Arabidopsis thaliana: one gene and its partners. The protein of the gene in region 2 interacts with the protein of the main gene of each other region in a pairwise test. Each region holds a gene or a part of one and is shown on either strand. Other genes may lie near its edges.

Region 1 (7,887 bases), on a different chromosome or scaffold from region 2:
TCTGAAAGGGAGAAGTTAAATACACAAAAGTATAGAACAAACAAATAGTACGTAATGAAGTTGATGATAGTAAAAGAATTTAACAATTCAATAATTAAATGTAATCATTCTTTATAATTTGGTTATCAAACAAAAAAATAAACTAACTTGTAGATCAAGCAACCATTCTAATGTCAAAAATAAAAATGAATCTCTTAGACTAATAACAATGTCAAAAAGGATGAAGCTTTTAGACTATTTTTATGGACCCATCAGGCCTATTTAAGAGATTGAGTAAACCTTAACTACTCTTGTTGTGTCACACACTACAAGATTCTCAGAATCAGATTGATTCGTGCAAAGCCAATTCACCTGTTTAAGAAACACCAACAAATGTTCAGAATCAGACAAAAGAGAAAAGAGCAAAAAGAACAATGTGAGCTTTTAGTTACCTTCTTGCTTAGGTTAATATTCAAATGGAGGAGATCACTGTTATTGTTGTTGTTGTTTGGATCAAGACATTTAAAGCAATCCCAGATTTTGACTGTTTTATCATTACCACCAGAGATTAAGAATCTACCTTTCTCCTGAAACAGAGAAAAGGCTACACAAGAAACAGCAGAATTGTGTCCACCAACAGAGTAGTCTAAACAAACCCTTTTGACCACATTGTTGCTGCTGCTGCTGCTACTTCCTTTTGATGATGTTCCTTTTCGGGAAAGTTCTGATTCGATATTGATCAAATTGACAATTCCATCACCTCTAGCAACCGCACATATCTTGTCTAACTTATCAACCATGTCCATTTCCGGTATTGCTATTGAGTGAACAAACGCAGGGTTTAGGCATTGTCCCGAGTTATTATTTGTATCAGATCCTGAAAGATTACAGAAATGACTTGCAAAATCAGATTTGTTGCATATATATATGGCTAAAGAAACCAGAATTAGTGGCATAGTCTTTACCAAAGTCTATAATCTTTTGCGAGCGACCTTTTGAGAAATCCCATAAAACAAGCTTTGAATCAAGTCCACCAGTTATAACTGAAAGAAATTAGACACTTTAGAAGAGATGTGTATATATAATAACAAATCACAATAAGATATTAGTTACCTTCCCAAGGTCTCCATGGAATGAATTGTACAGAACTACATATCTTATATGTCTCATTAAGGTGTTGATTTGAGACATTTTTTCGAGGCTAGTAGAGTTTCATAGACGAGAATGGGTAAAAAAAACGAAGTAAGGATACACTTGTGTGACCAGCTCTAAGGGTTTTATAAAGGCATTTCTGACCAAGGTCGATGATCTGTGTACAAGCAAACTAATCAAACCGAGAACCGTCCCACCAAAATTCATGTTTATGTAATCTTTAAGAGTTTTAAGTATTAAGAACAACTATTGAGTGTACCTTAACATCGCCGGAATCATCTGCAGAAGCAAGAAAAGACGACCTTCCGTTACATACTACCTTTAACAAATCAAAAGATGTCAACATCAATGTCATAGGTAAATATGATAACTTTTTCGAAAAGTCGAGTTTTTAGTATCTCTACCTGGTTAACTTCATCTTTGTTGTAATTGTAACTCTCTAATGGCTTCCAAGAAGTAGCACTTAGCTATGAAATTGCATAAAGAGAGAAGCTTTAAAACTAAGTGAAGGATATGGTTATAGTTAGTTAATCAAAGTTTGAACATTTTAAATTACCGTATGAACATCGAAAGACTTGATTTCGTTTCCACAAGAAGCATAGAGAATGTTCTCATTACCTGAAAAATCAAATAAAAGTTATCACCAAATTGCAACAAAGAGAAGAAATTGAAAGAGAGAGAAACAGACAAAACACAAAGAGACAAAACCTGTCTTGAAACAAAGAGATGAAACTGGTTCTGTTCCAACATCGATGATGAATTGAACATCTTTACATCGCAAATCAAACCAGCAAATGCAACCATCCTATAATCGTATGATCGGAAAACTATGAATCTTGCGAAGTAACTACAATAACGAAACCTAAATTCATCGGAAAAAAGAGGTTTGAATTAGAGATTAAGAAACCTCGCCGGAAGTGAGAACAATTCCAGGCCGGTCACGAGAAGCTATACAACAAGTGGCAGTTGATTTGTGGCCTCTCAGCTTCCTTGGCTCTTCCATTGCCGTAGCCATAACTGTGAGTGAGAGTTTCTCCGGCGATTGCTCAGTTTCAAGCTCTAAATTGAGCTAAAAAAGGCTAACCGAAACAAACCAAAACTAAACCGGATATTTTGGTAATCCTTCGGTTTTGTACCAAAAAAATCGAAACAACAAAATTCCAACCTAACAGAAATCGATTTTAGTACCACTTAACCAAAATGAACCGATACGGTGAAACGAAATCAAACCGAAAATTATGTTCAACCAAACTGAAATCATCAAAGGCAGAAACTATTTTTATCTTTTCTTTTCAACAATTCTATTGTTTGAGATAAATATAATTTAGGGTTCTGAAAATTTGACATAGCATTTTCAAACAATAACATTGATAGATCAGATAAATAACAGAAATACACCAAATGGGCATTACTCAACCTAAAAGCAATCTTCATATTCGATAGAACCGTTAACAAAAACCGATCCTTAGGTTGTTAACAATAATTCTACTCTCTGATTAGTTCGAGCAGCATCCACCTTTCTTCACAGCTGAAACATCTTTACCGATATCGATCTTGTCTCCTTTCGATGGAACATTAGCGGATTCGCTCGCAGCTTCCATCGCCTTCTTGCTCACAATGTGGTGAATCTGAGTGAGGACTTCGGCGAAAGCGTTCTCAACATTGGTGGCTTCGAGAGCCGAGGTTTCCATGAAGTAGAGAGATTCTTTCTCGGCGAATGACTTAGCATCTTCAGTCTGAACAGCCACGAGATGGCGAAGGTCAGATTTGTTGCCCACGAGCATGACTACAATGTTTGGATCAGTGTGGTTTCTGAGTTCTTTCAGCCAAGTCTCAACGTTTTCAAATGTTGAGTGTCGGGTTACATCGTAGACAAGAAGCGCTCCAACAGCTCCTCGGTAATACGCACTAGTGATGGCTCGGTACCTATTGAAACAAAGTCAACGAAACAGAGAATTAAGTTAACCGAAACATCAGGAACACAAAAAAGGCAAGAAGCTTTACAGTTTCGAATTCAGACTATGCACGCTTTACAAAACTGATCAGAGAAATGGAGAATAGCAAATCATACAAAGCAAGAAGCTTTTCAATTTTGAAATTAAGACCAAGTAAAAGCTTCAAATGAAAGTTTAAGAATCCAACTAAAACCAATCAAGCTCTCTTACATAAATAAACTAAGCAAAAACAACAGAAGAAATCGATAATGATTGAAGAATCTTAGGTGAAATCTGAGAAAGAAGAGCTAAGAATCGTAGAAATGAAGTTACTGAAACCAATCAAGCTCTCTCACATAAACCTAAAATAGCAAAAACAACAGAAGAAATTTGATAAAGCTGATAACTTTATAATCATAATCATAGGATTCTCCTATCTTACACAAAACCCAAGTTGTCAAAATCACATACTAATCCAGATCTCTTCTTATAAAAGTGATCAATACCAATGGATCTAAATCAATTGATACAGATCTAACCTAAGCTGAAAATTTACTGTCTTTGGCAACCAAACAAAACCATAAACCCCAAAACTTCAATCAAAATGTTCTAATATAAGAAACCAGATCGAGAAATGAACAATGTGGTTGAAAAAGATGAGACCTTTCTTGACCAGCAGTATCCCAAATCTGAGCTTTGATGACTTTATCATCAACATTCAAACTCCGAGTCGCGAACTCGACCCCGATCGTGGATTTTGACTCGAGACTAAACTCGTTCTTCGTGAATCGTGAAAGCAAATTGGATTTGCCCACACCTGAATCACCTATCAGAACAACCTTGAATAGGTAATCGTATTCATCATCTGCTCTGTAACCCGCCATTGATTCTCTCCTTCAAAGCTTTTAACTTTACTCCTTCAGATTCGAGAAAACAAAACAAAGAGAGAGATAAAAATGGGTCCTTCTTTTCAAAATGAAAAACCCAAATGAGATTTGAAACTTGTTGCTCTTTTTTCCTTAGATTTTGTTTTGAAAATTTTTTCGATTTCAACAGAGAAAGACGCGGAATTGGAAAATATCAAACGAGAAAGACAAAGGACTTGTGTACTGTCTTTATCACAAAGAAATCTAACATTTGTGTGGCCAAATTTACTAAACTGCCCTGTTAACGCGTTCTGATCTATTACCTTGCTCGCTTCGATAAAGACGAGGACGTATTCGTCAATTCACATTTGTCTTTATCTTTTATGTTTTTCTAAACTGATTAAAATGATAAAAAAGAATGCGTCTGCCGGGAGTCGAACCCGGGTCTATTGCTTGGAAGGCAATTATCCTAACCGTTGGACTACAGACGCTGACGATTAATTCAAACAGATATAATATACTAATCCAGAATAATATGACGTGGCAAGTAAAGTGACTATAAATAAAATCGGGGAGATCTGTTTTCACTTTCTTCTCTCTAACAAACTAAGGCCTTGAATGGTACTAGTTTTTAAAGTTGATTTTGGCTTTTGATTTTACAAAATCCACTTTTTCATCCATTCATGATTTTGTAAAAAGTTAATTTCCTAAATTATAGGGAATTCAAAATTTAAAAGATTCTAGTCATTTGTTCTTAAAATCCAAAATTCACTTTTTTGGGATTTTCAACAAATTCTATCGTAAACTCTTTTTTTTTTGTTTTTAAAAATAAAAATAAAGTTTTAAATAAATAATTTTAAAACGTTTCTAAATAATAATTATATAAAAATCAAAAACTAGAAAAGTTACCATTTAAGATTTTGCAAAATCTAAAATCTCCACCAAAATCAAAAACTCATAAAATCAAAAACAAAAAACCAAAAGCCACAATCCAAAATCCAAAAACCCACCAAAATCAACAAAACATTCATGGCCTAATTTGGCAGTCAAAACAGAATTTGACCTTGAAGACGACTCTTGCAGACTTCTCCGGCGATTCTCCCGCCGTGAAACTCTTATCGGCGGCTATCTTTCTCCGTTTCGTTCCCGACGGTCGAGTTTGTACTGGCATTTACTTTACTTGTTCGAAGCGACTTCCAATTTTCACCTAATCAAACGCGACTCTCAACGGTTCGAGAATGGGTTGTATCGGATCTTCTCAGGCCAGAAATGAAGGCGGAGGTTAGTGGAATCGATACTCTCTTAAACCTTTAATTCCGCACTCCGTTTGTCTCGCTGAATTTGTTCTCAGAATTTGGGCTACGATTTATACTTGTGTTGTAATGTTTTGATTCTTGGTGATAGTTCTAGTTTTGAGGTGTTAACATGAACTAATCTTGCAAATGTTATGATTCTTGGAGTGATTTCGAAGGAAATATCAGTTTATTGTGGTGTTGACATGTTTGTGATTCGTTAAAGATTCCAAATTTTGAAGCTCAGAATTAGTTCAGCAGAGAATTAGAATGCTCTTCAACATTGTTTCTACTGCTCAGAATTAGAATGTTGGATCAGAGAAAGTTGTTATCGATGGTATGATTGAAATGAAATGGCCGTTTACTAATGTTATAACATTCCATTTTTACCAAGAAAAATTGTTCTGTGAACAATAGACAATATAATCTGATTCGTTCTGCCTTATACTGTATTTGTTGTCTTGATGAAATTGAAACTGTGATGATCTTCTGAAGTAGATGGCTATAATATTGGTGTTACTGAAAGAACTGTTTTAAAATTGGTGGTAGTTTATATTGTATCATTCTCTTATGAGTTTTGTACGTTTGACACAGCAAAAAGGAAGAAAATCATGAAACCTAAACCGTGGGCACATACTGAGCCAATCACAAGGGCACAACTTACGAACATGCGTGAGGAATTTTGGGACACCTCTCCACACTATGGTGGTCAAAGAGGTATATATATATCTCTCTTTCTTGTAATCTGCTGCATCGCACTATGTACATTTGGAAACTGAGCGAAATTTACTGAAAACCAGAGATATGGGAAGCACTTCGAGCTGCTGCTGAAGCTGACTTGAAACTAGCACAAACTATTGTTGACAGTGCAGGCGTGATTGTTCAGAACCGTGACCTAACATTGTGCTGGGATGAAAGAGGTTTGTAATACACAATTCTGATTCGTTTCTCTCGTTTCTTGTTTTGTTACCTTAATGACTTGCTCTTATTCAATGCAGGTGCTAGATATGAGCTTCCTAGGTACGTTCTAAGTGAGCCCACGAATCTGATTCGAGAGGAAGGACAGTAACTTCCAAGAACATTGACACAATACTTAGTAAGTAGTAGAAGAGGACTAGAAGTTGAAGTAAGTCTCTCATATTCAATACTTTTTGCAATTGATAGTGAATAGAAACACGGTATATTAGTAGGAGACACTCTCTGTATAGTTACTGGAATCTAAAGTGAGAGATGGTGGTTGAGGTACAAATGTACAGAGCCAAGAGTTGTGAACTTTTGTGGTCAAAATGATCTTATGAAGTCTTTTTGACAACCAGGGGCGGATCTACGTTGTGGGTAGGTAGGGCACGTGCCCTACACAAGGTTTATAAAGTTTATCTTGGAATACAACTGATATATTTGAAGCTAGCGTTAGTGGTTGTGTCCCCACACTCTTTCAATCCGTGCTTGGGTTCGAGTCTAGGTAGCAGATACCTTTTTTTTTTTAACATTGTCTTTTTCTTCTACCACAAACATTAATTTGAATTATCTAATGTTACACTTAGCTCAAACTTCCTTATTTAGTTAAAGTTTATGTTGATACTAGATAAGGCCCGCCTATTTAGGCGGGTGTACCGAAAATTTTCAAATACTTGAACGGGTCTAAACTTCAAAACCCGAAAAACTCGAACCCGAACCCGAATAGGTATCCAAACATATTTCAAATATAAGTATATATTAGTTATATTTACACTTATATATAGAAAATATTAGGATTTTTTGGATATTTTAGTTATTTTTGTGTCTTTTTAGATATATTCAAGCAAAACTACTGGTGTTGTTTTGAGAATTTTTGAAATTTTGAAGTAATTTAATAGATTTGCACACAAAATTTGATATTTCAATATATAAATAAACTCGAATCCGAACCCGAACCCGACCCGAAATCTTAAACTACCCGAACGGGTCCTAAACTTCTAAACCCGAAAACCCTAACCCGAAATACCCGACCCGAATACCCAAACGCCCAGGGCTAATAATTAATAGAAAAAAGAAATCCACAAAAATATTTAGAAACCAAACATTGTTGAAAATATATTTTCTATATATAGCGTAATCTCGTAAGTTAATTTTACATCATGCAAATTAATATTAACTGAGTTAAAATTAATAAATGAAAATAATTGAAAAGTTAAATCCTGTAAGCTAAGCTATTTTTCTCAAAATGTTCTATTTTCACTTATGACTAGATGAATTCCCACGCTACGCGTGGGTTTGTTTTGAAAATTCTTTAGATAAAAATATGTTAATTATTTTTGTCGCTAATTTATGTTTATTTTTTGTTTGTTATTTTATACTTAGTAAAATTAGACTCATCTTATGTACTTACATTTTTATTGTTAGATTCATTTTTGACTCTAAATATCAATTTTTATATATTTTCATGTATAATCTGATTATTTTTATATCCAAGATTCTAAAATTTGTTCATTATCATGAATACACACAACAAGAATATAAGATATTTTGATATCAAGAGTTTTCGTATGAAAAAAAAAGAAGCAAAAATTAAAGAGTTATTTTAGTAACACTTTTTAGATTTTATACTATTGCATATAGCCGTAAGAGACAAATGGATTTGTTTTGAATTTTGTGGTATGTTTAACGTCTCAAAAGTCTATTACT
Region 2 (7,398 bases):
GGTTGCCACGGCGAGACGCTGAGAAGTCGAGGAATTCGTCGACCCATGAGGGGTTTTGTACGGTGGTTGTAGCGGTGGCGACAGCGGTTGCGGTTGGGGTAGAGAAAGGAGAGAGCTTTTGGGAAGAGAAATCAGGCCAATGTTGTGTCATGTTGGGGATTTTAGGAGGGAGTTGTGCCATTGAAGAAAAAATAGATGGATCTTGATCCAAAAGATTACCAAAGAAAGCAAATCTGAATTTACAGGATTGAGGAAGGAAAAAAAAAAAACCTTAATTAATAAGTACAAGATAAACTAACGTAAATCCAATTCAGAAAACCAAAAACCTAGATGAAAAAACAAAGGAAAGAAACGAAATGTGGAGACAAATGGGAAGTGGAATTAGATCAATGTCATGAACCATATGAAGAAGATAGAGAAAAGAAAAAAGGAAGGAGAGGAAGAAAGAAGAAAACGGAACAAGAGTAACCAAAATGGCTATGTTTAACAAATGATAGTTATATAAATAGAAGGAAGTAAAAAAACAGAATTAATGAAGGAGATAAATAGAGATATATATATATATACATGAGATATATATTATGTAAAATCTTATGAAAGAACATAATAAATTCGATGTGATCAAAGTGTTTAATTTATCTCTCTGAGTAGGGCCACATGGAGGGAGATATTGAGATCGGACAGCTATGAAACAGCTGTCTTGAGAAGTGAGGCTAAAGGTCTCAACGGTATAACTGGAAATTCTCCTCCACTGGTTTTTTTCTTTTTAATCTATGTAAAGAGATTTGGAGGAGGAATCAAGCAAGCACGTGTTCTTGTGACCTTTCTTTTGTTGAATGGTTAATACGTTTCTTTCTTATGAATGGTTTTTCGATAGGTTCATGTAAATGCAATATCTCGTATTTGTTGCAAATCATATGTGTCAATTAATAATTTTGGTACATGTAAACCTACGTCAAGCAAGTACAATGAATACATGAGTTAATAGCACACAGTATCATCTATATATAGAATAATAGAATTAAGTCGAGTTGATAAACATGACTTAATTTATTGGAAAACAAATCCGACGACTTAGCTTATTTATCACATATCTTTCACCATGGTAATGGATTATCTTGTTACCATCACTGCTATGAGGAGGGCTAAACAATGCATGGAGAAAGTAGGGTAGTGGACGAGTGGAGAGAGAGTGAAGAGTATAATGTTGATGTGTGAGTCCATGTGATTTGTTTTCTGTACTCTTTTTTTCCCCTCTATATTTGCTTTGTCCCAGACCACACCCACATGTAGGACACTTGCTACTTTTTTTTTCTCTCTTAAATCGTATAATTTTGGATATTTTGTCTGTCCAATTTTTTACTTTTCCGGATCGATAGGAATATTTAACGGAATCTATATTTTTTTGTTTTGTTGAAATGTTAAAATTATAAATCAAACTTGAGAAAGTTATATGTACATGTATTTACGGAATATATAGTCAGTGAATTATTTCTCTAAATGTGTGTCGGACAGTAATCTCATAGAAATATTTTCATGATTATCAAAACCAAACGATTTTGTTTTAAAGGAGGAAATCACACATCATCTGTTATGTCATTTCCAAATAATTCCTTCAAGATCATCATCCCTAATATAACCATTAGCATCTTCAGTTTACAAATATCTTAGCGACCAACCTCTAGCTAAACTCCATGAGCTACTCAAGTTTTTCTTTTACCTCTAAGTCTGTCCTTAACAGTGTGAAGAAGTTCCATCGCCTTGTCTAGTACATAAGCTTTAAGTTTCACCTTTCGACCTAACAGTGTGAAGAAGTTCTTTTACCTTCAAGTTGCACTGGGGACTTGATTCATACAACATACGTTGACATCAGGCTACCATTGCTAGTTCTTGTTTCGAGAGAGAAGCGGCCTATTTACGATTCAATACACATCCATGGAGGTAATATATTACAGCTAAATTTGAAGCTTTATGACAGAATCATGCATTTGCTCTGTATGTGTTTACCTGTGACACTCTTTGTGTTAAGGCTTGGCATATTGCTGTTTATGTTTTAGTAGAATGAAAATTCTTACAGAATCTGCACTGGCGAAATCTTGGTCTGCTTCACTCGTTAGAGGTGACCTTAAACTAAACTATGTGACTAGTTTTCCGTTGAGAAGTGAAGAAAGCAGCTGTCGAAGTGCAACTCAAGAAAATGGAGGTAAAATAAACTTAGCAATAGAGAGCTGATACTGTTTCAATGTGATTGAGAACAATGAGAAGTGAAGTGTTTGTGAATTTGTTTCACTGCAGGAGGAACTAGAGAAGAAGAAAGCAGGAGTATGCAGAGAGGATGAATTAGGTTTCAGTGACTCACAAGGAAGCAGAAGAAAGAAGTGCAATGATTGAAGGTAAGCGTGGAGAAGCAAGAAGAAACGGCTGCTAAAATACTGGGCCATTAGAATTGTTCCAAAGGCAACTTGTGGATGTTTCCAATCTTGAGTTTACAAATCATTTTTTCAGGATTTTTTAACTGTAAATTTCTCTCTTCTCTTCAATGGCTTGTAATGTTTTTTGTATATTGATTTTGTCTGTGAGAAACAAACAAGAGTTCATTTTCATAAAACCTTATATCAGTCGAATAATTCACCATGAGATCATTCAAATTGTGAATCCATCCATTTTCTAGAAAATCTGCAGATCATGTGACTATCTTACTTGTGATAAGACTCATCGGTACCTACTATGGTCTGAGGATCTGAAGGCTTAATAAACATGAAGACCAAGACAATTATGTAACTAGGAACAAACAATCTCACACTGAATAAGTATAGCTAGTAATGACACTTGACATATGTGGCTTTAACACTCAGGTTCCACGTAAAAGCTTCACAAAAGTATAATACAAGTTCCAGGGAGTTAGTTAGCTGATCTATTAATGGGAGGTACATTCTTCAGCAGATAGCGTCGTCTCTTAGACCGAGCACGACTCCTAAGCATCCATAAGATCACTAAGAAACCGATAAAAACCATCTGAAGAGCGAAAACAAGCTTCATACCTGGAAACAACAACAACAACAATTGTTTTTGTATCAGTTTGCTAGACAATCAAACAAAACAAATAAGCTTCCCAAGAAAAGTTGCAAAACCTTGTAGATTCTTGACCATGTCCTGAAGATTTCCTATAGTATAAAACTCCTTTGGATGAGGCGTTGAACCGAGTTGCAAGTGTATAGATTTAAGGTTGGCTCTAGGTTTGTAGATGTAGTTAACGTTACCACCCATTATACAAGTGTTGGGACAATGAATGCTACTTTCGTACTCGTCGCTTCCATCGCAGCAATCTGAGAAACAGACAATGTCATGCTGCTTATCCAATCCAACAAAAACATGTAGATTACTAGCATACAGCAAGAGACAGCTGAAACGAGAATCATTTAGTCGAATTCAGAACATTAGTAACTACTGACCACAGATTCGATCATTCACACGAGAAGAGTAAACGAACTTTGGAGAACTTCCAATGTTCCTACAGTAAAATTTGCCATTTGGACATGCCGAAGTTCCTGTAATGCAAAATCAGAAATTCAGAAACTTACTCACAAGAACACATTTTTCATAATTGAAATTGTGAAAGAGAATAAGATTCGATCAATTCTAGTCCTAAATCTTTTTATCTGGAAAGAATTTAAAGTCTCATGTCATCTCAGCTCTCTGGATTCTAAATTGAGAAAAAAGTGTGTACCAGGCTCATCGGTGCCGTCGAGACAATCGCAGAAGTTGTCGTTGAGACGATCTCTTGTGAAAGATTTGGAGCCATCTTTGCATTTGATAACATCTGAGTCGAAATACTTTTCATCTGCCTCACAACAAAGAAGTAAGTAAGAATCAGAGAACAAGAACATTTTTCAGATTTGTCGATATAATAAAGATAAGAGTCATCGAAGAAGTAACCTAAAGGGTGAACACCAACGAGGGGAGAGGTCGAAGCGACGGAGATGACGACGACGGCGAGTGACGAACACAACACGACGCATTGCAGCAGCATCCGTTGACTCGCATTTGGTTAAACCGACGTCGTTTTAAGATTCGAGTGGATTATTCCGACCAGATTCTCTCTTTACGATTTCGGCTTTTAAGTTTCAAGTTAAGAATAAGTGGAGTGGCCAGATATTTGATTCGATGGGCTTTGAATTATATTGGGCTTTGAGTTTTCATTTAATACTACAGTGTTCAGTATTCGACTATTAAGAAAAGAAAAAAAATCTACAATTCAGGTTATTATTAAAACTTGATTTAATTCTTGATTAATAAACTAAATTAATTTGATTATTTTAGTTTGGTTCATTTTTTCTTCTAAGTTTTTTTTTCAATGTGAATCAAAACTCTTACTCAAACGTTCTTAAATTGTGTTTGTACTACGGAGTCCCATCACCTCTTGGCTCTTGTTCAAGAGCAAAAAGTTGAGAAACATCCAAGCCTTCAAGAATGAGACCATCAACACCATTTTGAAATCAAGTAATGGCTGGAGAAGGCATAACAACTTGAACAGAAGAAGTTTGAACCACGAGTGAAAGAAGTGTAATTCGAAAGACTTCAAGTCACGGTTATTTGCGGTTAGCTGGTAATGAAGAATGAACCACTCTAAGAAGCAACCAACTTCTACAACATAAAACAGTTGTGAGCCGTTGTGATTTTGTAGTTAAGTTGACTGCTTTTCTTCTTATATACCTTCTTCTCTAGACTATGTCCATTTTATCTCACAAGTGATTTTTCACAAGACATTAGATCCCACGAGTCATAAGTAACACACAGAGCCAACACTTAGCACCTAAACCATTAACCTAAACAACTTTTAGTTCCTCCTTCTAGTTCTCCCTCTAAAAATCATGGACTCGGACAAGAATAGACCAACAAGACTGACTTCTCCATTATTACCCTTTTGCATCTCCTATTCATTTGTCCTAGTCTGGTCCATACACCCAAAGCAATGGACCTCAAAATATGATAAAAAAATGTGACAATACAAGTCTATTTCTTACTAACCAGTAAACCAAACCAAAGAATTTCAAATTAGAGCAACCTAAGCCTCATCCTCCTCTGTTCAAGTTGTTGTTGTTGTTCTTGCCTTCATTCTTTTCTGAGATTCTCTGAGATATGCTTCAGCTTTTCTACCTTTTAAAAGTTCCCTGAAAACCTTTGTCACAGTGGTTTGTTCTACACCATGAATCTCCTTCATGAAATTGATCATCTCAGGAAGAGTGTAGAAATTTTCACAGCAGAACAAGTAGCTATCTCTCACTTTCTCCTCTTCCTTGCTCAAAACAGGTTGACTACTTTGCTGTTCATTTACGACACAAATTGTATGAATCAGTGAGAATTAGTGAATTACAAATACGTAAAATCAAATACATAATTCATCAGCCAGAATTTTGAATTACTTGTGCTTCAGTAGTCGTCGTAACACACTTTCCCTCTGATTTCTCTGCTTCAAACGAGCTACCAGAATTTTTCGCCATTACTCTCTCTGTTGGTGATTTGCTTGTAATTTAGGGTTTAAAGAGAACAAGGATGCTCTTGTCGTCTGCTGTCTCCCTTTTTCTAGCCCAATTTTATAAACGGCCCAGTAAAGCCCAATTACATAATCTGAGAGCATTAGTGACTTGTATTGGTTTCAAGTTTCATTCACACACACACGTAGATAAGAATTGGAATAAAGAATCAATGGTGTTGCAAATGTACCTTTGAAATATGAATACACCACTTCGTTAACAAAATCCTTGTGGTTTTAAAGGAGAAAAATAAAATGCAAAAATTTACAAACCCATCTACGATTCTATCAAGAAAAAGGGCAAAGACCAGACTTGTCCATATTAACACAACACATCAAAGATCCTATCTCTTCATAATACAGTCAGAAAGAAAAAAAAAAAGAAAACAGAGGTGGCGATGGCTCTTTTGTAGAATGCTGGAGACAACTTGGAGCTATTGTTGCAGGAGTCTTGAGTTAGATTACCAATAGCTAACTTCACTCCTTACGACCTTTGGTTGGAGGAGAGGGTTTGTCTGAAGCCACTTTAAACTGTCCCATCTTCTTCTGCAGATCAGCCAGAGGGTCTTTTGAAATCTTTCCCTTAGGACTCTTCTTTCCATTTCCTACTTTAAGTTCTAGGCGATATAACGCACATGCGTCAGATTCATTGATTTGGTATTCAAAGAGATGCCACTCAAAGGGACCTGGAGGTTGTGGATCCATATAGTAAGATCTCTTCTGGCCTTCTTGTTCCTTCATCAGTTGTTTTCTTGATTCATGCCAACCTCTTCCACTGTAATCTGGAAGTGATCTTTGCTTTCGGTTTCCGCTATCATATGCTCTTCTAGGTTTGTCAAAGAAGAGCCACTCTCTAATTGTTTCGCCTTCAACCAGTTCAAGATGAAATAGCTCTGCAAGTACAAAAAATTAAGGGTCAGGCAAAAGTAAGAAACTCACATAAGGCTTCTGTTTTCAAAGAGGCAACGAAATGTTGAACTAAAACAAAGAGAGAAGCAAAACTGGGCTCTAGTGGGACAATGCTCTCACCTGCTGCGTTCCATGGGCATTTTGTGTTAACAGCTCCTTCACACACTGGGATCCCAACATTCTTACCCTGAGTCTTTGCACGAAGAGCATCAATCAATAGATTATCTTTCAAACTGATGCCCCCTGGCCTCAATACAGGTGCTGTGCCAGGCGAATCTTCATTCAGAGCTAGAGTCCCATGGTAGTTACTGCAGTAATCCAGGTACCACTCGGAGCCCTGAGCAGGCCTTGTGCAATCCCATAGTGCACACTTAGGTCCCAGAAAAGCAGATGGAGGCACACGGACACTTGATGGAGTAGAAAATTCAGCAAAGTTGTCAATCTCTTCAGAAGAATCAAGCTTAGTGGAAGGGCTGTTATCTAGTTCCTGACGCACTTCGGAGAAAATATAATCATACTGAGAAGTTATATCCAAGTTGCTGCTGAGTTTTTGGTCATGGAAATCAGGAGCGGAGTTTATGCTTGGATCAAACCCTTCATATCCATAATGGAGTTGCTGGCCATGTGTTTCTGTGCTATTAAGAGCATCCTGAGATAGAAAAGGTGAACTTGTACATAAGGAAACAAAATCAAAACTAAGACAAGAATGAAAAAGATCAAAACTCATAGCTGAACTGGAATAAAGAATCAACGGTGTTCAAATGTCTAGGAACATCTAACCAACAATCAAAAGATTATAGAAGACAATTTTGACGCAGAAACTGTATCTAGCTCACCTCAAAGCCGCAGGAGAAATTTCCGTTGAAAGGACTTTGACTAAAATTCTCAGATGTCCATTCAGGAGGGCACAAGCTTTGAGAAAAACCCTCAGGATCAGGCTTTGCTCCAGCATGTTC
Region 3 (6,126 bases), 7.0 Mb from region 2:
TATCATATTCATATACCTCAGCCGTAACTAACTAAACTCAGCCATGCCTAATTAAATTTTTAACTCAGCCGTATAATATTCATATAACTCAGCCATAACTAACTAACTAAATTTATAACATGAAAACAACTCAGCCATAACTAACCAGCGTTTATAACTCAGCCGTAAAATATTTATATAACTCAGCCGTAAAATATTCAGATAACTCAGCCGTATAATATTGATAACTCAGCCATAACTAACTAAAATTTAAAACGCAGCCGAATAATAATCAGATATTAACTCGATCATAACTAACTAAAAGTTTACCGGAGGAGGACTAGGAGCAGCAGATTGGTTATTTGTAATTTTCTTTGGAACGTCTGGTGTCTTTTGAGTTTGGGCCTTACGATTGTCTTCCTGCGTTTGGGGCTGTGGTTTGGATAAAAACATATCTCTAATATAGCTGCTTGATTTTGAATCAGCTATGGCCTTCAGCTGCTCTTTAATCTGTTTGACGTCGTTCTCAATCGATCCAAACCTTCCTTCAAACTTTGCTTCAACACTCGATTCGATTTGACATCCAATCACATCCAGACGGGAGGACATTTCTTTTATGCTAGTATCAACGGTGTCAAATCGAGAGTTTAAGGGAGAGATCAAGTTGGACACCACATCCACGAGCGACTGCTGGTCTCCCTGACCATCCTGCTCACGAGAACGAACATCCTCGTCCTCATCAGATTCGACAGCTACTTCCTTCTTCTTCTTCTTCTCCTTCTTCTTCTTTTCTGCATCTTTCTCAAGAGAATCAACATGCTCACCGTGAGAGACCTTCTGTTTCTTAGCGGGAGATTCAGACACCTCCGCTTCTTTATCTTTTAAGAGTTTCTTCTTCTTCTCACTCGTCTTCACATCCCAATAACCTTTAACAAGCTTAACCTCGTGTAAGTCTTGGATCAAGTTATCAAGTGCTGGGTCTTCTAATTGGTCTGGCCAAAAATGAAACAGCTCGCTTAACTCAGCCTTTTCAACCATTGTACGAACACGCAGCTACAACAGGAGAGATAATAAAACCCATCAGTATGTTTAACTCAGCCATCACTTAATATAACTCAGTCGTCACTTAATATAACTCAGCCATTATAGAACATAATTCAGTCGTCACATAACATATTTGCCAAAAAAAAAGAATATAACTCAGCCTTCACAGAGAAAAATAAAACATTAACTCAGCCGTAACATAAATATTTGATAAAAAACAGAACATAACAGAGCCGAAACCGTACCTCACCACCATTCGCTTTGATATCTTCAGCAATGACCGATTCTATAGTTGAACGGGTACGGCTGCCACCCCATCTAAGCAACGGAATCTCATCCGCGTTAACAGCGTTCCCAAAACGCTCAGCGATGGTGATGATTGACTCATACGCCCAAGCCTGCAACACGAAAACCAGACCACTGACAGTGTACGTCTTGCCAATAGGCCTCAGCAACTTTATAGAAACGACAAGGGCTTCATATGCTGCCCGACCCCATGGATAAGTCTTCATGGCTTCGTCGTCGAAAACTCTTTTGGCACTCTCAAATGGTATCCTAGAGTTAGTATGCAAGCCAAAAAGTCCAATGGATAGAAGAGTCAATAACCCAAACCATCTACGTTTTTCAGTAGGCCAAGCTCTGCACGTTACTAAGCCCTGCCTAAGTTCATCTAGATTAGGACCTTCACCGGTTGGCACACGCAATTCACTGAAGAACGCTTTGTAGTCAGCTTCAGGCTCAAACTTTTCTGTAGGCAGATCATCTATATTTAAACCAGTGATATGATGAAATTCGTTCAATCCAAACCGGATGGGTTTACCAGCCACGATACACCAAAGCTCCTTCTTCAGTATTCTCAGCTGTCTGCATAGTAGATAATGTACGGTCTTACCAGACCAGAGAAAATGACTATCAACAAGCTTAGCAATTAATCCAAGCTCTGTCTCTTTCAGTTCTGCCCATATTTCTTCTCCTATTGATTCTCTAATTGCAGGGAACTCTCCCAGCTTTATATTATGATTAATGCCTTTACCCTCCAGATTAGAATCCCCCTCTTGGTAAAGTCTTGGAGGGTACTCCCTTGCTTGGTCTTCAGACATCTGTATAACCATAAATCAGCCGTAAGCATTCCATAACTCAGTCATAACATAAAACAAACTCATCCACAGATACCATAACTCAGGCAAAACATAAATCTAACTCAGCCATAGATAACATAACTCAGTCATAACATAAACCTATCTCAGCCATAGATAACATAACTCAGTCATAACATAAACCTATCTCAGCCACACATAACATAACTCAGCCATAAGATAAATCTAACTCAGCCATATTTTAACAGAAACTCAGTCAAACCATAACATAACAACAGCTCAGTTAAAACATAAACCAGACTCAGCTATATCAAAACAGAAACTCAGCCATAACATAAACAAACTCAGCCGTCATATAACAGAAACTCAGACATCGATGTAAGGTTAAACCATAACTCAGTCACAGCATAAAAAAAACTCAGACACGGATGAATTGATAAATCATAAATCAGTCGGCAAACAAACAGTAACTCAGCCGTCAAATCAAATAGATCTAAGAAATCGGCCACCATATGTCAATCAACGTCGACGTTAAAACCCAGCTTTAAAAACCATCGTTACGCATCGGAAAACGATTTCAGTGACGGGAATCACTTGAGATTGAACTTAGATGTCAGAGTCTTACTTCATTGAAAGATACTCACCGGAACTTAGATGTCGAATGTGACTTCGCGCTTACGTAAATGCGACTCCGGCGTCTGAATTTCGGCCGGAACAGACGAGAAAAGAGCAAAACGGCGAAAGAAATCGATTTCGTTCCGTCGAGAGAGAAAGTGGAAGAAAGCGACAGTTTTTTTTTTTTTTGGGAGATGATGAACAGTAAAGCTAAGAAATAAGAAACCCAAACGTTATGGAGTTTGGAGATAATTAATGACGTGGATTATGGTAATGACATGGAATAATGACATGTATAATCACTGTTTTTTCATTTAATTTTTAGTTAAAAACGAATTAAATAATAATAATTAATTAAAACTAATTAGGGGTGTTAATTGTAATTACACAATAACTGAAAACATCTGAGTAATAAAAAAAAGATGTGTTCTACTGTAGGAATAAACATACAAATGTGTTCTATCTTAGGAATTAGTTCAAATTAAATTGTCTTTTCCCAAAGCCGTCCTTTAAACCCGACGAAGTTGTTTAAGCAGCTTAAATTAAGCTCCTTGAAAGATTAAGCATTTCTGGAATTTTTATCGACTTTAATTAGAGAAAAATAAAATATTTTTTGATATTCCTTGTAAAAATCTGAAGAATAAAGTTTACTCCACTTATTACCGACACAAAAAAAGTTGTTCCACTTATTAAAAAAAAGTTATTCAGTTATAATTTTTTTAAAAAAATCCTCTGTTATATATCTCTCACTATCTTTTATTTGGTTCTTTCCAGAAACAATTGATCAGAGCTTTAAAGAAAAAGATGGAATTCACCGCAGAGCAGCTAAGCCAATACAACGGCACCGACGAATCAAAGCCGATCTACGTCGCAATCAAAGGCCGTGTGTTCGATGTCACCACCGGAAAATCCTTCTACGGCTCCGGAGGCGATTACTCGATGTTCGCCGGAAAAGACGCGAGCAGAGCTTTGGGTAAGATGAGTAAGAACGAAGAAGATGTGTCTCCTTCTCTTGAAGGTCTCACTGAGAAAGAGATCAATACTCTTAATGATTGGGAGACCAAATTTGAAGCTAAGTATCCTGTCGTTGGCCGTGTTGTCTCTTAGGTCTCTCTTCTGAGATTGCACTATGTTATGTAACTATTGTGTGTGAGGATCTTTGTGTTGTGTGTTTTCTGATTTCGTGTTTGGATCTGATCGTTTTGATACAATTACCATAAGTACCAAATTATCTATGAAATAAATCGGGGATTTCGTGTTCTCAGTGGTCTTCATATTCTGATCTTAAGGTTACTTTGTTGTGCTTACCAAAAAAAAAAGGTTACTTTGTTGTGATGATTAGGATTTTAGGAGTTTTAAGTCTCATATGTATTTGATGAGAGGATATAAAGATTGGTTTGTGTCTTTCATATCTTGCAAATACTTGGAGCTAATTGTGTCTGGTGAAAGAAAAACTGATGGTTTCTGAAATCTGAGCAACACCAAACTTACTGGTAGTTTTGGATTCGGTGTAAATTATCTTACAAGTTCCAAGTTGTTGTTAATTTTAGTCTTTTGCGTTATGAGATTTGGAAGAATATAGTTATGATGAACATTCAGAATTCATAGAAGCTAATGTGTGTCTTCTTTGATTCTTTCTTACTTCTCCCGGTCTAAATTATTATCATCACTTGTATGACTTCGGCCCTGTTCGGCATGGCGTTCTTGCGACTAATATGTTGCTTTAACGCCAAGTCTTAGGTTTGAGGGAGAGCTGTTCATGGGTAGAGTTGTTCTTGGCTCGAGTTGACTTGTGTCGTGTGTAGTGGCTGTGGCCTATAGCTATGCTTGTTTATCAAGAGAGAGGCATCCTAACTTAGATATTATTTTGACATTTTAAATAAAAAAATGCACAAACCACCACCTCCAAGAACTAGCTACCTTGCTGGATTTGAACCAAACCTAGAACATAAATGAGGAGACGTGGAGGGGTAGGAGATTCGGCACCATGTTGATCCTCAGGTAGGTATTTATCCTTTCCCACAATTTGTAAAACGTTGTTGGAGAACCCGGGGTGATTACAAGACACTACAACTTTGTTCTCTATGTCGACTAAGAAACTCAACCCAAAACATAACCCTAAATGATAGCGGTCATCAAATTTCGACACTGTCAGGAACTTGCTCTATGAAATGGCTTCGTACTCTCCATCTTATTCGCTATCCATACCTCAGAGCTCTGAGCAGCAAATATACAAAGTTGTTGCGCTTCTCTAGTCATTGACAAAGTCGCAAAACAATAAGAACGAGGCGATCTTAAATATTAACCAAAGAGAGTTCGCCCTAGGTCTTCTCTCCCGGGCACGATCTCCGAGGAAGCCGCCCCTCCATGCTCCAAGACAAGATGGACCTCCGCCGCCGCTGCTCCGCCGCTCAATTATCCTCTTCCTTCTGAAGCCGCTCTGCTCTTCCTTCTCGGGTCAGATCCTCGTCGTTCGTCGGAACCCGTTGTCGCCTGCGAGTAGTCTTTGGCTAGTAATTCAGCTCTGATGGTTGCTTCGTTCTCAACTCTCCCGTCGTCGAGCTCCTCCGTTTGGACTGTGAACACCGCTCACCTCCGGATGCTGTTCTTTCGGGTATCGCTGGATCCTCCCAAGCCTCCGGTGCCTCCAGATCCGGTACCTCCAGAGCCTCCTCCTCGTTGTTGTAGCGATTTTCCATCGTCTCCCTCATGGTATTCCTTGTTTGTTGGATCCTCCATCTCCTTTCCCTCGTCATTGAGGCTTATTATAAATTATATGCAAGTGTTTTCTATGATAAACCTTCTAGATCCGTGTGTCTTCCGGTGACACTTCTATCGCCATAGTGCGACCTATTACTGCAGTATGCAGCCTTTTTCCTGAAGCTATTAGGTTTTCCTATGGCTCCTATGCCTCCTTTAGTTCCTTCTTTCATGTCTATATGATTTGTAGGTTCTCTAAAGTTGAGATGGGTAAATGTTCAGCTAACTCATGGAGTTGGAATTGTGATTCTCGCTTGTTCACAATTGCTTTTGGTCTTCACAAGGATACTAATTGTATGCTTTGTTTGTGGTTGTGCTTTGTTTGCCATTGTTACTCCTTTATGGAGATCTATGTTCTATCAAGTTCCCCTGTTGTTGGGAAATCTTTATTTGCAGGGAATGAAAGCTTCTTTGGTGTTTGTGGATTTGCTGTTGCATCTTGTTTGGACATGCTATCTTCTAAAACCCTTGAAGTTCCCTTGCGAGACATTTCTGTCGCTTATCGTTCTAGCACCTACACGTTGGTAGCAGAAGATATTGTAGCGAAGACTGCCTTATCATTGAATAACGCCCTCTTGTTGGCGTGGAATGAAGACTCTTTGGTTTTGCAATTGTTCATGGACTCCCAGTT
Region 4 (8,890 bases), on a different chromosome or scaffold from region 2:
CATGTTCAAGAGTCGATACGAAACACCGAGGCACATTTACGAGTTCAAACTTCTCCATCACCTCCACTGGACATTCAGTTTCCTGAAAACACCAACAAAAGTAAAGCTAGGTATTCAATTATAAACATCCACAAGAGCCACAATGTTGTTACGCCAAAATCATTTAAGTTTTTTTACCAAGATTAAGTGTTTCAGATTCGGGAAGCTCTCAAGAAAGGCTGGCAAAAACTGTAACAAGGAGCTCGGGAACGCAGCCTCTACACGGGATAAGTTATTGAATTTGGGAATCAGTCCTACTTTTGAGTAAAGATCAAGGGCCTGCAACAAGAAGGAAAGGAAAAAATGGATGCTAGTGAGAGTTTCCCAAGTAGAAAAAGACCAAAATTTGTTGTACAAAAATATATACCTTCACTGTATTATGAGAGATGACCATATGTCTTACACTAGATATCCCGGTGAGAAAATCACGGATTTCATTTCTCTTTGGTAAGTCCTCCGGATCAAACATCCAGCCAAACCCGACAATGAATTTGATATCAAGGTCAATCATGAATAAAGAAGTAAGGTTCTTTACCACGATTCTATCGAAATGGTCTGCTTTAAGACTCATATACTCTAGTCCAGGAGCATCAATCTCAAATGTCTGTGTCACTCTCCTAAACAAAGAAAGTTTATGCCTAAACGGAATAGAAAACCTCTTCAAGCTTCGAGATCTCACACGCGTAACCACCAATTTATCATCATGAAGATAAATCAGTTCTTCAAGAACAGGACAACCTGAAACAAGCTTCTCCAGATTCATAGTACCACTACTATCCCATCGAACTTCTCGAAGATGCATGAATTTGAGACAAGGCAAATAGACAAACCCTGGATCCTCAAGACCCGAATACGAAAGCTTCAAAGAAACCAATGTCTTACACGAATAAAGATTCAGAGGCATGAACTCGATACAAGGATAGTCAATGCAATCATCAGCATCTCGATAATAGGTATTGCTCTCAACATCTAAAACTCGAATCCCGCGGCTAATCGCGTCACCAATCCGATCCGAGAACTTAATGATCTTATCTCTACTGTAATCTACCTTGAATTTTTGAAGACGTGACTCATTGTTAAACTGGAGAAATCTGTCAATGAAATCAATCAACAGTTTTTCGTTGTTGTTCTGAAAGGGGAAATCACGGCAGTTCAAATCAAGTCCGGGAACATTAAGCCATAGATTCTTCCATCTAGTCGATAAAACACTCGTCTTCACAGAAGCTTTAGTCGGAAGGTGTAACAGTATTTGACTAATCAAAGATTCCGGCAATTCGCTAATTCTATCAAACCCAGGCATGACCTAATAGCATTAACAAACAATAAATTAATCGAATTCCAAAAACTAGGGTACAAGTGTCTGACTATAAACGAAATACTCACCGTGGATTCCATTCGCCGGCGGAATTATTGGCCGGAGTTGTGGAATTAGCTTCAGCTACGAGCTAAACGATGAACATGAAGTGATAATGAAAGAGAATCACAAAATTGAAGTATTTATACGTTCGAAGCGGTTCCGATTCCAATTTTTGCGTTTCCAAAAAAATAAAACGGTTGCCATTATTATAATTCTTTAATTTTCCATTAATAACAAACGTTATACAATGTTAAACCGACATTTTACGGTTAAACCGGTATCGGTTACATGTTTTACATGACTTAGAACTAACATATTTTTGTATGTTTGCAACGAGTTAACAAACTATTTTGATCTTGAAAGGCGATAAAGCTCAGTCGAACTTAGCAGCGGAAGTGTGAGATATCCAATTAGCTCTCCAAGTAATGGAAGGCGAAAGAAGACGCTCTGTTTTCCAACCTCCTGATCTCAGCTACATGGGAAACAACAGAAAGAAAAAGAGTGAAAACAGTAGCTTTAGTGTCATAAAAACACGGTTTAACTGGTCCTAGTGATTTAATCTTACCTTGTGGAGCAATTCGTCATAGTGTTTATCAATCCAAGCTTCTCCTTCTGAATAAAAAGATGTGCTCTTTTCCATAAGGTTTGCCAAAACAATGGCATGAATATATGATTTCAACACATCTGCAGGTTTTGAATCTTTGTGCAAGATCACACTAACATTTCCCTTTATGTGAGCCAATAAATACTTAGCTGCAGGAGTGTACAACAACAGACAAGAACCGAGCTTACGTCAAGTATGGACAGAGAAACTAATGTCCTTGAAAGATTGTGGAAAAATAAATCAATCAAACCATTCTTGTATGAAGAAGCTCCAACACCATTTAGCAGCTGCAACCTGCACACAAATATGTCAAGCTTGAGCCGATTCTTTACCCGAAAATTATGATAATCTAGTATAGAGCTTACATATCTAGACGAGGGAGAGAGGAAACTCTCACACCTAACTGCACTCTCTTATGCAATGGCTTTGAATTCGTTGACCTCAATGAAGTGGCCCACAAGGGCAATACACCCTCCATTGAAGAAACCTGTTCGGGAGAGAGAACTGGCAACACGTTTAGTTAAAGAAAGTTATTGGTATATGGTGCAATAATAAAGAGAAACCAATAAAAAACAAAGGAAAGCCACTGAAAACTTGAAAGAATCAATGGCGCATTTCGAAATTACCTTGGCCAGTTTGAATGAAATGTGTTAGAAGAATTGAACTCCTCTCAAAGTTTAATGAATTCAATACAAGACACCGGACAGCTCTATAGTTTGCTAAATATATAAGAAAGGCAAACAGTGAGAGAAATTCTGATTTGATCTATGCTTTAACCTTCATTTGTGACTTACCATACATATGAAACACGGTGAGAGAGAGAAACGAAAGCCAAATAGCCATAGGGTTTCCAGAGGTAAACCGAGCTAGCAACATTCCCAATGACATACCCATCATAGTTGCCATAGTCTCTTGGCTTCCTTCCTTTCAATAGATAAAATAGAAGCAAAGAATTACTCAAAGTTCACATTTATAGTTTCTATATCATTCACAGTGACAAGAAGTAAAGAGTACCTTAGCAGATATATCCGCTGCATTGTCTTGAAGAGCAAAGTGCTGTGTTAGAGCTGCTCTGGTTGCTCCACTTGCAACACCAGCTAATAGCCAAGATTGAAAAAAGTTAAAAACCGATGTATCAATCCAAACCGAAGTCTTAACTTCAATGTTTGATGCAAGAAATGATACGCACTAAATGATCTTGATAGGCTCCCTAAGCAAACCACAACGATAAAGGCAGATGGAAACAAAGGAGAAAGAAGGTCCATTAGCATTCCTGCAATAAAAGCAACAAAGCTTGTAGTCATTCAACTGAGAACCAAATACAGGCAATTAGTATCAAGTGTGATGTGACAACTAACTTTTACATACCAATATCATTCATAAGGTCAGCAACTAGGCGCCACATTTTTGCATTGCTATCCAGGTTGGAACCCTGAAGAACAGAACAGTTCCCATTAAATAAGAACGTAACCAATCTAAATCTTAAAGAAAAGGGAAGAGAATCGATGTGTATTATGATTGGGAAGAATCTGCTACATAGGCACCTGATAAAATGTGAACAATATACCTCCAAGCATCCCAGTAAAATCCCTCAGAAACCACTGCATAATACACAAGATAGAATCACTATTCTCCATTGCGCTTTATAGTTCTTGAGAGAACTAGTGTGAAATGTTATATGTAAGCAATGGAAAAACTCACCTGAAATGTAGCACCTATAACAGTTGCGGATTTCTCACCAACGCCAATTGCACTCAAAAGAGCCTGAAAATAGTCCAAATCAGAAATGCTGCAGCAGACAAATTGGACCAAAATAGAGAACTCAGAAGCTCAAAAACTTTAGCTTTAGCTCACCTGAGTGGAAAGCATCATCTTTGTATAAGTTGAGAGGCCCTGCAACAAACATAGCCGAGAGTCACAATTCAAATTTCACAGTAGCTATAAGGCATACAAGCATATTCTCACATACCTGTAATGTGTCCCATAACTGAAACCCTACATAATCTGGAGTTACACTGCCAGGAAAGCCCTGCACTAGACAAAGTACAATTCAGCCAAACCCTAATCCGGAGGACAGATTCTAAAGGGAAAAAGAGAGAAAACACTTGCCTCTGGTACAAATGCTTGAAGAACTCGTCTCCACACATGATTAAAGCGATTAGCAGACCTATGAATCACTCACAGGAGACGAAAACCCAAGAAAGTTTCTCAATTTTGTTGTGAATCCACTGAAACTATCAGATTTGGATTGATTTCAAAGAGGAATAAAGAAGAACCTTTGGATAGAGAGAGAAGAGGAGGCAGTGATGGTTGCTGTTTTGAATAGCTTAGTGGAAGAAGAACCATTCCATTCTTCAAGAGTAATCGATCCGCAATCAGAGACTTGTTCTTCTCTCATGGCGAATTTTGGCTTCTTACGAGTGAAAAGAATCACTTATTCAAATGTTTAGACTTTATGAGTGTTTTGGACTTTGTGTTGGGTTTCAATTGCAATTGAATAGTCCAATGACCCAAATGTGATTGGACTTTGGGTTAGTAAAAGGTACGTTTTTGGCAAACGCAGGTCACATGTCCACATCATAGTCTTCTTTTGGCTCCCAATTGGATTTCTAGATTTAGAAACACTTAAACCAACAAGTCACGGAAGTGTGTGAAAGGAATGTTAATGCTAATGATCACCATATCTTTATATGCTTTGTGCCTATGTTTCTAGGTTTTGATCATCAGTCACCAACTTTATAAATGTTGTTTCCTACAAGTTATCTCTAGAACACAGTTGTATCACATTCATCTTCATCTTCAGACATTTGTTTTCATGATCTTCTTGTGAGAAATGGGAAACTTGTTGATGTTTTGGTGACTCTTGTGTCAATTCAAGAGGGAAAATCTCATCGAAAGCAACCTTTGTCAGGAGTTGCAATTCATAGGACACTGTTTGATGTGAATGAAGAAGCTTATGTCAAAGCTTCTCCAACAGTTCTCGGATTTGATGTAAAGCTTTGTGTTATTTTATATGATAAAAGCTTTACATTGCACCTTTTTCTTTGTTTCTACAGTGCTTCGATTTGTCTTACAAGAGTTAAATATGTCGATCCACCTCTACTGTGTTCTACGCCTATCAAGGTCTTTTCCTCATCAAGGTTTACTACGAGGTTTTGTGCTTCTCTTCTCTGCAATGAGTCTTAAATTTCTTTACAAATTCTTTAAAGTTTGATGTGTTACTAGTTTCTCTTCTTGTCAGGGTCTTTTAAAAGTATATGCAAACATCATTGTATTATATTAGAATATATATATATATATATATAGTATTCAGATTCATTATTTCAACTGATTAGATCTATGGAACAAATTGAGAGAGAAGAAGACAAGATTCTGAATTTGAACAGCAGCTAAAAAGCAAGAACAAATTTGACTTTTTAATTCCCTCTCAGAAAAGAAATGACGAACCCAAAAGTTCTTTCTAACTTAAGAAAAACTTGAGCAAAACTTAAGCAAAACTTAAGAAAAATTTAAGAAAAAAACATTCCATTTTCTTATCAAATTAGTTCTAATATTATCGTAGCTAGTGCTCAAATATCACCTAGGTTCATAACAGAGAAAACACATGGTACATATTTGGATTTTGGCCACAACTATTTGAGAAAAACTGTATGTATGTATTCGGGATCACGCCATCCAACCATCCTTGCAGGAGCCATTAAACGGGACTATTCATGTTGTTGCGGGAGGTGGAGGAGCCAGTCTAGATGATTTCTCTTGCATGCAGTCCAGCTGGAGCCTGCTCGGCGACAAGGACTTTGGGTTCGTCACCTTAATTGTCGTCGATCACTCTACCATTCAGTTCGAGTACAGGAGAAGCAGCGACGCAGTCATCCACGACTCTTTCGAGATAGCGAGGGAGTACAAAGAGATACTGGCGACTTTCACTTTGTAGGATAGGGAGAAATTAAAATAAAACGGCTATCTATTTTTATTTTGGACGGTTAATTGGAATAAAAATATCTGGTTTATTTAATATTGTCTTTATAAGTAAGTATTCGTGTAATAAACGATTGGTCGATTCTTAGTTTTTACTTGCGAATCTGAAGAATCTGATGATCGATGACGAAGATGATTCACTAAAGCCTCTTCTTCAATTGGAAGGTTCTGGTTCAGTAAAATTTTCCGGTTAAATTACTCAATAAGACGGTTCAGTGGTTAAGTGGGTCGATGTCTATTACTTAAAATGGATCAAGGTTTTAGAGGTTTTAAATAATGGATCAAATTAATTTCGTTTCTGAATCTGTGTAATCTTTTGTTGTTTTCAAAATGTTTTAAAGTTATAAAGAGGGCACCGTGCCTGTAGCAACATGTAATGATAGATCTCGATTTTGTTCCTATTCAATAGTATTTTGGTCACTAAATTATGTTTTTTTTTTAAGCATAAAATCATCTTTGATTTTTCTTTGATCCAATACTTATTTAGACATAAGCATTTGGACTAATGATTTTAGAAAATTTGCGTGGGTCAATCATCATCTAATATAAAGCATAGTCCACTAAATCTGATAAGAAATATATAGATAGACATTTAAATCGAAAAAAATCCTTTATTTCCAATTTTGCAACTCTTATTTGGTAAACATATCTAGTATTAATTAAAACTTTAATTAGATTTCCATGTTTATGAGAACTTTGTTGTTAGTCAAAAGAATCCAATAACAATTATACTTCAATTTCCACGTGTAAATATTAAAAAAAATAGTATCTAACCATCGCCTAAACTGGACTATAAAAATAAAAAAATCGATGAAGAATACCTTCAACTTCACCATTGCAAGATTTACCAAACAACCAAAAACTTCTCCAGTGAAGGAAAAAAACATCGACTTTGAAAATGAAGATCGCTTCCTTAAAATTGTTGTTATTGGTTTCTCTACTTTTTGCCGTAACCCGTAAGTAAACAAAAAATATTTAAAGTTTCATTTTGTGCTTTTAGTATTTTTTATTTACATAGTTTTTCATTGATTAATATGTTTTTTTTTGTTTCTTATCTCTTATTAATATATGCAGAAAATGGAATTAGCATTCAAAACAGTGAAACTTCTGTCAACCAAAACTCATGTATGCCGAATGAACCAAGATGCACCGGTTGTCCAGGTGGTGGTAGTGGTGGTTATCGTGGACCACCACCTCCATGTTGTAAGAATGATAGTGATTGTAAAGCGCATTGCCCAGAGGGAGGTTATTGCAGCAACCAATGCGACTGTGTTTGTAATTTGGTTAAAGTGATGAATAATGATGTTCGTTGCCAAGTAGATACTGATTGCAACATGAAATGTTCAAAGCAAGGCTATTGCAAATTGGCATCTTAAAGAAAACTCCTTTGTATATGCATGCATATATGATGAATGCTTAAAATAAATAAATATATTTCAATAACCGCAGGCGTTATACTTTTAGTGACTTGATTTATCTCTCTTTACTCGGATTTCATGCAAAACGGCCTAACAACAACAAAGGACTTATTATTCTTCTCTCATTGGATGGCCCATATGATATCCCAAAAGCATTGACACTTTGGATTAGAGATCATGTATAGCACGCCTTAGAAGAAGGATTTTTACATGAATGTCATATGGATCCAATGTATTAATCTTGTTTATGTTAAATTCTTGAGTAATCTTTTTCTCATTCAGACATTAAAAAATCTCGAGTTCACTAAATTTAAGCAATTTAAAATTCCGCTAATCAAAACTTGATGTGAATTCTTCTACTCCAGTGCAATGTAAATTGGCCGTTGACGAGCAAAGTCTTGACTTTTTTATATCATTGAGGGGGAATCTCAAGACTGGATATTCTAATTATTAAAGACTCTTCTTATTAATCTAATCTTCTTCAAAGTTTCAATCTTTGAGTTTCTCCGAAAGATTCAAAGCAAAACCAAGTTAGTTATAATGTCCTCACTCTGTTTCTTTTAATCCAATTGCTAGTCTTTTTGCATCTTTCTTGTGCCCGCTCGAATTGTTTCAGTCTTAGAAGACATGAGAGAATCGTTAGTTGCAATCTTGGTGACTGTTATATCAGTTCTTGGAGCAATTCACCAAGTGAAATCTCATGAAGACCAACCTTTATCAGGAATTGCTGTCCATAAGATTACATTTGGTCTCAATGAAAAAGCTTATGTCAAAGCATCTCCAACAGTTCTTGGATCTAACGTAATTATAACCATTCTCTTCCTCTATTTCTCATCGCTTTTGATGAATTACTAAACCTCAATGCATTTTTTTTTCAGGGTCAACATAGTGAATTAGTATTGGTCCAATATAGTTCTCCGAAACCATCTGATGATGATTGGATTGGAGTGTTTTCTCCTGCAGATTTCAAGTAGTTTAACACATCCTTCTTATCAAATCAGTGCTGAGATTGTAAATAAGAGATTTAACACTGTTTTGTTCCTGCAGTGCTTCGACTTGTCCAGGAGATAACAAAATGGTCCAACCACCTCGACTTTGTTCAGCGCCTGTCAAGGTTTCCTTGTTTTCTCACTGTTGATTCTACTTTTCTTCTCTGTTGCAAGTCTTTTAGCTTTCTCCTCCTGTTTCTTTCTTTACAGTTTCAATATGCAAACTTTAGTAATCCAAGATACACCAATACTGGAACTGGTTCCTTGAAGCTTCAACTGATTAACCAAAGATCGGATTTCTCCTTCGCGCTCTTTTCTGGCGGTTTGTTGAATGTAACACTCTCATTCATCTACAACTTCTCTAGCTTTACTAGTTGTTAGCTTCATCTTTAACCATCCCTTGGTTTTTTTCTTTTCTTGTGTGATATAGCCCAAGCTTGTGGCAATCTCAAACAAAGTAGCTTTTGAGAATCCAAACGCACCAGTTTATCCGCGGTTGGCGCTA

Evidence for each region.
Region 1: the proteins of AT2G42390 (region 2) and RABA1c interact in a protein complementation assay, tested with the Arabidopsis thaliana proteins (one large-scale study listed by BioGRID).
Region 3: the proteins of AT2G42390 (region 2) and MAPR2 interact in a protein complementation assay, tested with the Arabidopsis thaliana proteins (one large-scale study listed by BioGRID).
Region 4: the proteins of AT2G42390 (region 2) and RUS3 interact in a protein complementation assay, tested with the Arabidopsis thaliana proteins (one large-scale study listed by BioGRID).

The regions. Positions count from the first base shown.
Region 1 is NC_003076.8:18,555,380-18,563,266, reverse strand, and holds RABA1c (RAB GTPase homolog A1C), read right to left. Parts: upstream 4,208-7,887; 5' UTR 3,950-4,207; coding exon 3,729-3,949; intron 3,058-3,728; coding exon 2,628-3,057; 3' UTR 2,322-2,627; downstream 1-2,321. Other genes in the region: AT5G45760 (Transducin/WD40 repeat-like superfamily protein), read right to left, coding at 262-351, 432-856, 945-1,022, 1,093-1,135, 1,232-1,288, 1,391-1,450, 1,536-1,598, 1,688-1,749 and 2 more; AT5G45740 (Ubiquitin domain-containing protein), read left to right, coding at 5,170-5,212, 5,818-5,940, 6,024-6,143, 6,222-6,292. UniProt on the Arabidopsis thaliana protein: Intracellular vesicle trafficking and protein transport.
Region 2 is NC_003071.7:17,648,480-17,655,877, forward strand, and holds AT2G42390 (kinase C substrate, heavy chain-like protein), read right to left. Parts: upstream 4,165-7,398; 5' UTR 4,031-4,164; coding exon 3,937-4,030; intron 3,842-3,936; coding exon 3,728-3,841; intron 3,549-3,727; coding exon 3,453-3,548; intron 3,327-3,452; coding exon 3,132-3,326; intron 3,042-3,131; coding exon 2,902-3,041; 3' UTR 2,627-2,901; downstream 1-2,626. Other genes in the region: BZIP34 (Basic-leucine zipper (bZIP) transcription factor family protein), read right to left, coding at 1-181; AT2G42395 (uncharacterized protein), read right to left, coding at 5,087-5,323, 5,424-5,501; VOZ2 (vascular plant one zinc finger protein 2), read right to left, coding at 6,011-6,426, 6,563-7,091, 7,279-7,398.
Region 3 is NC_003071.7:10,605,908-10,612,033, forward strand, and holds MAPR2 (membrane-associated progesterone binding protein 2), read left to right. Parts: upstream 1-3,509; 5' UTR 3,510-3,539; coding exon 3,540-3,842; 3' UTR 3,843-3,993; downstream 3,994-6,126. Other genes in the region: AT2G24945 (uncharacterized protein), read left to right, coding at 5,675-6,126.
Region 4 is NC_003070.9:4,717,225-4,726,114, reverse strand, and holds RUS3 (root UVB sensitive protein (Protein of unknown function, DUF647)), read right to left. Parts: upstream 4,542-8,890; 5' UTR 4,399-4,541; coding exon 4,277-4,398; exon of another isoform or gene 4,168-4,276; coding exon 4,110-4,167; intron 4,030-4,109; coding exon 3,970-4,029; intron 3,894-3,969; coding exon 3,855-3,893; intron 3,765-3,854; coding exon 3,702-3,764; intron 3,602-3,701; coding exon 3,545-3,601; intron 3,433-3,544; coding exon 3,369-3,432; intron 3,274-3,368; coding exon 3,190-3,273; intron 3,098-3,189; coding exon 3,015-3,097; intron 2,925-3,014; coding exon 2,795-2,924; intron 2,720-2,794; coding exon 2,627-2,719; intron 2,505-2,626; coding exon 2,366-2,504; intron 2,295-2,365; coding exon 2,251-2,294; coding exon of another isoform or gene 2,150-2,250; coding exon 1,962-2,149; intron 1,869-1,961; coding exon 1,770-1,868; 3' UTR 1,600-1,769; downstream 1-1,599. Other genes in the region: AT1G13780 (F-box/RNI-like/FBD-like domains-containing protein), read right to left, coding at 1-82, 178-318, 407-1,342, 1,423-1,434; AT1G13760 (uncharacterized protein), read left to right, coding at 5,014-5,152, 5,692-5,750; AT1G13755 (Defensin-like (DEFL) family protein), read left to right, coding at 6,877-6,934, 7,053-7,354; AT1G13750 (Purple acid phosphatases superfamily protein), read left to right, coding at 8,024-8,197, 8,275-8,366, 8,444-8,510, 8,596-8,718, 8,816-8,890.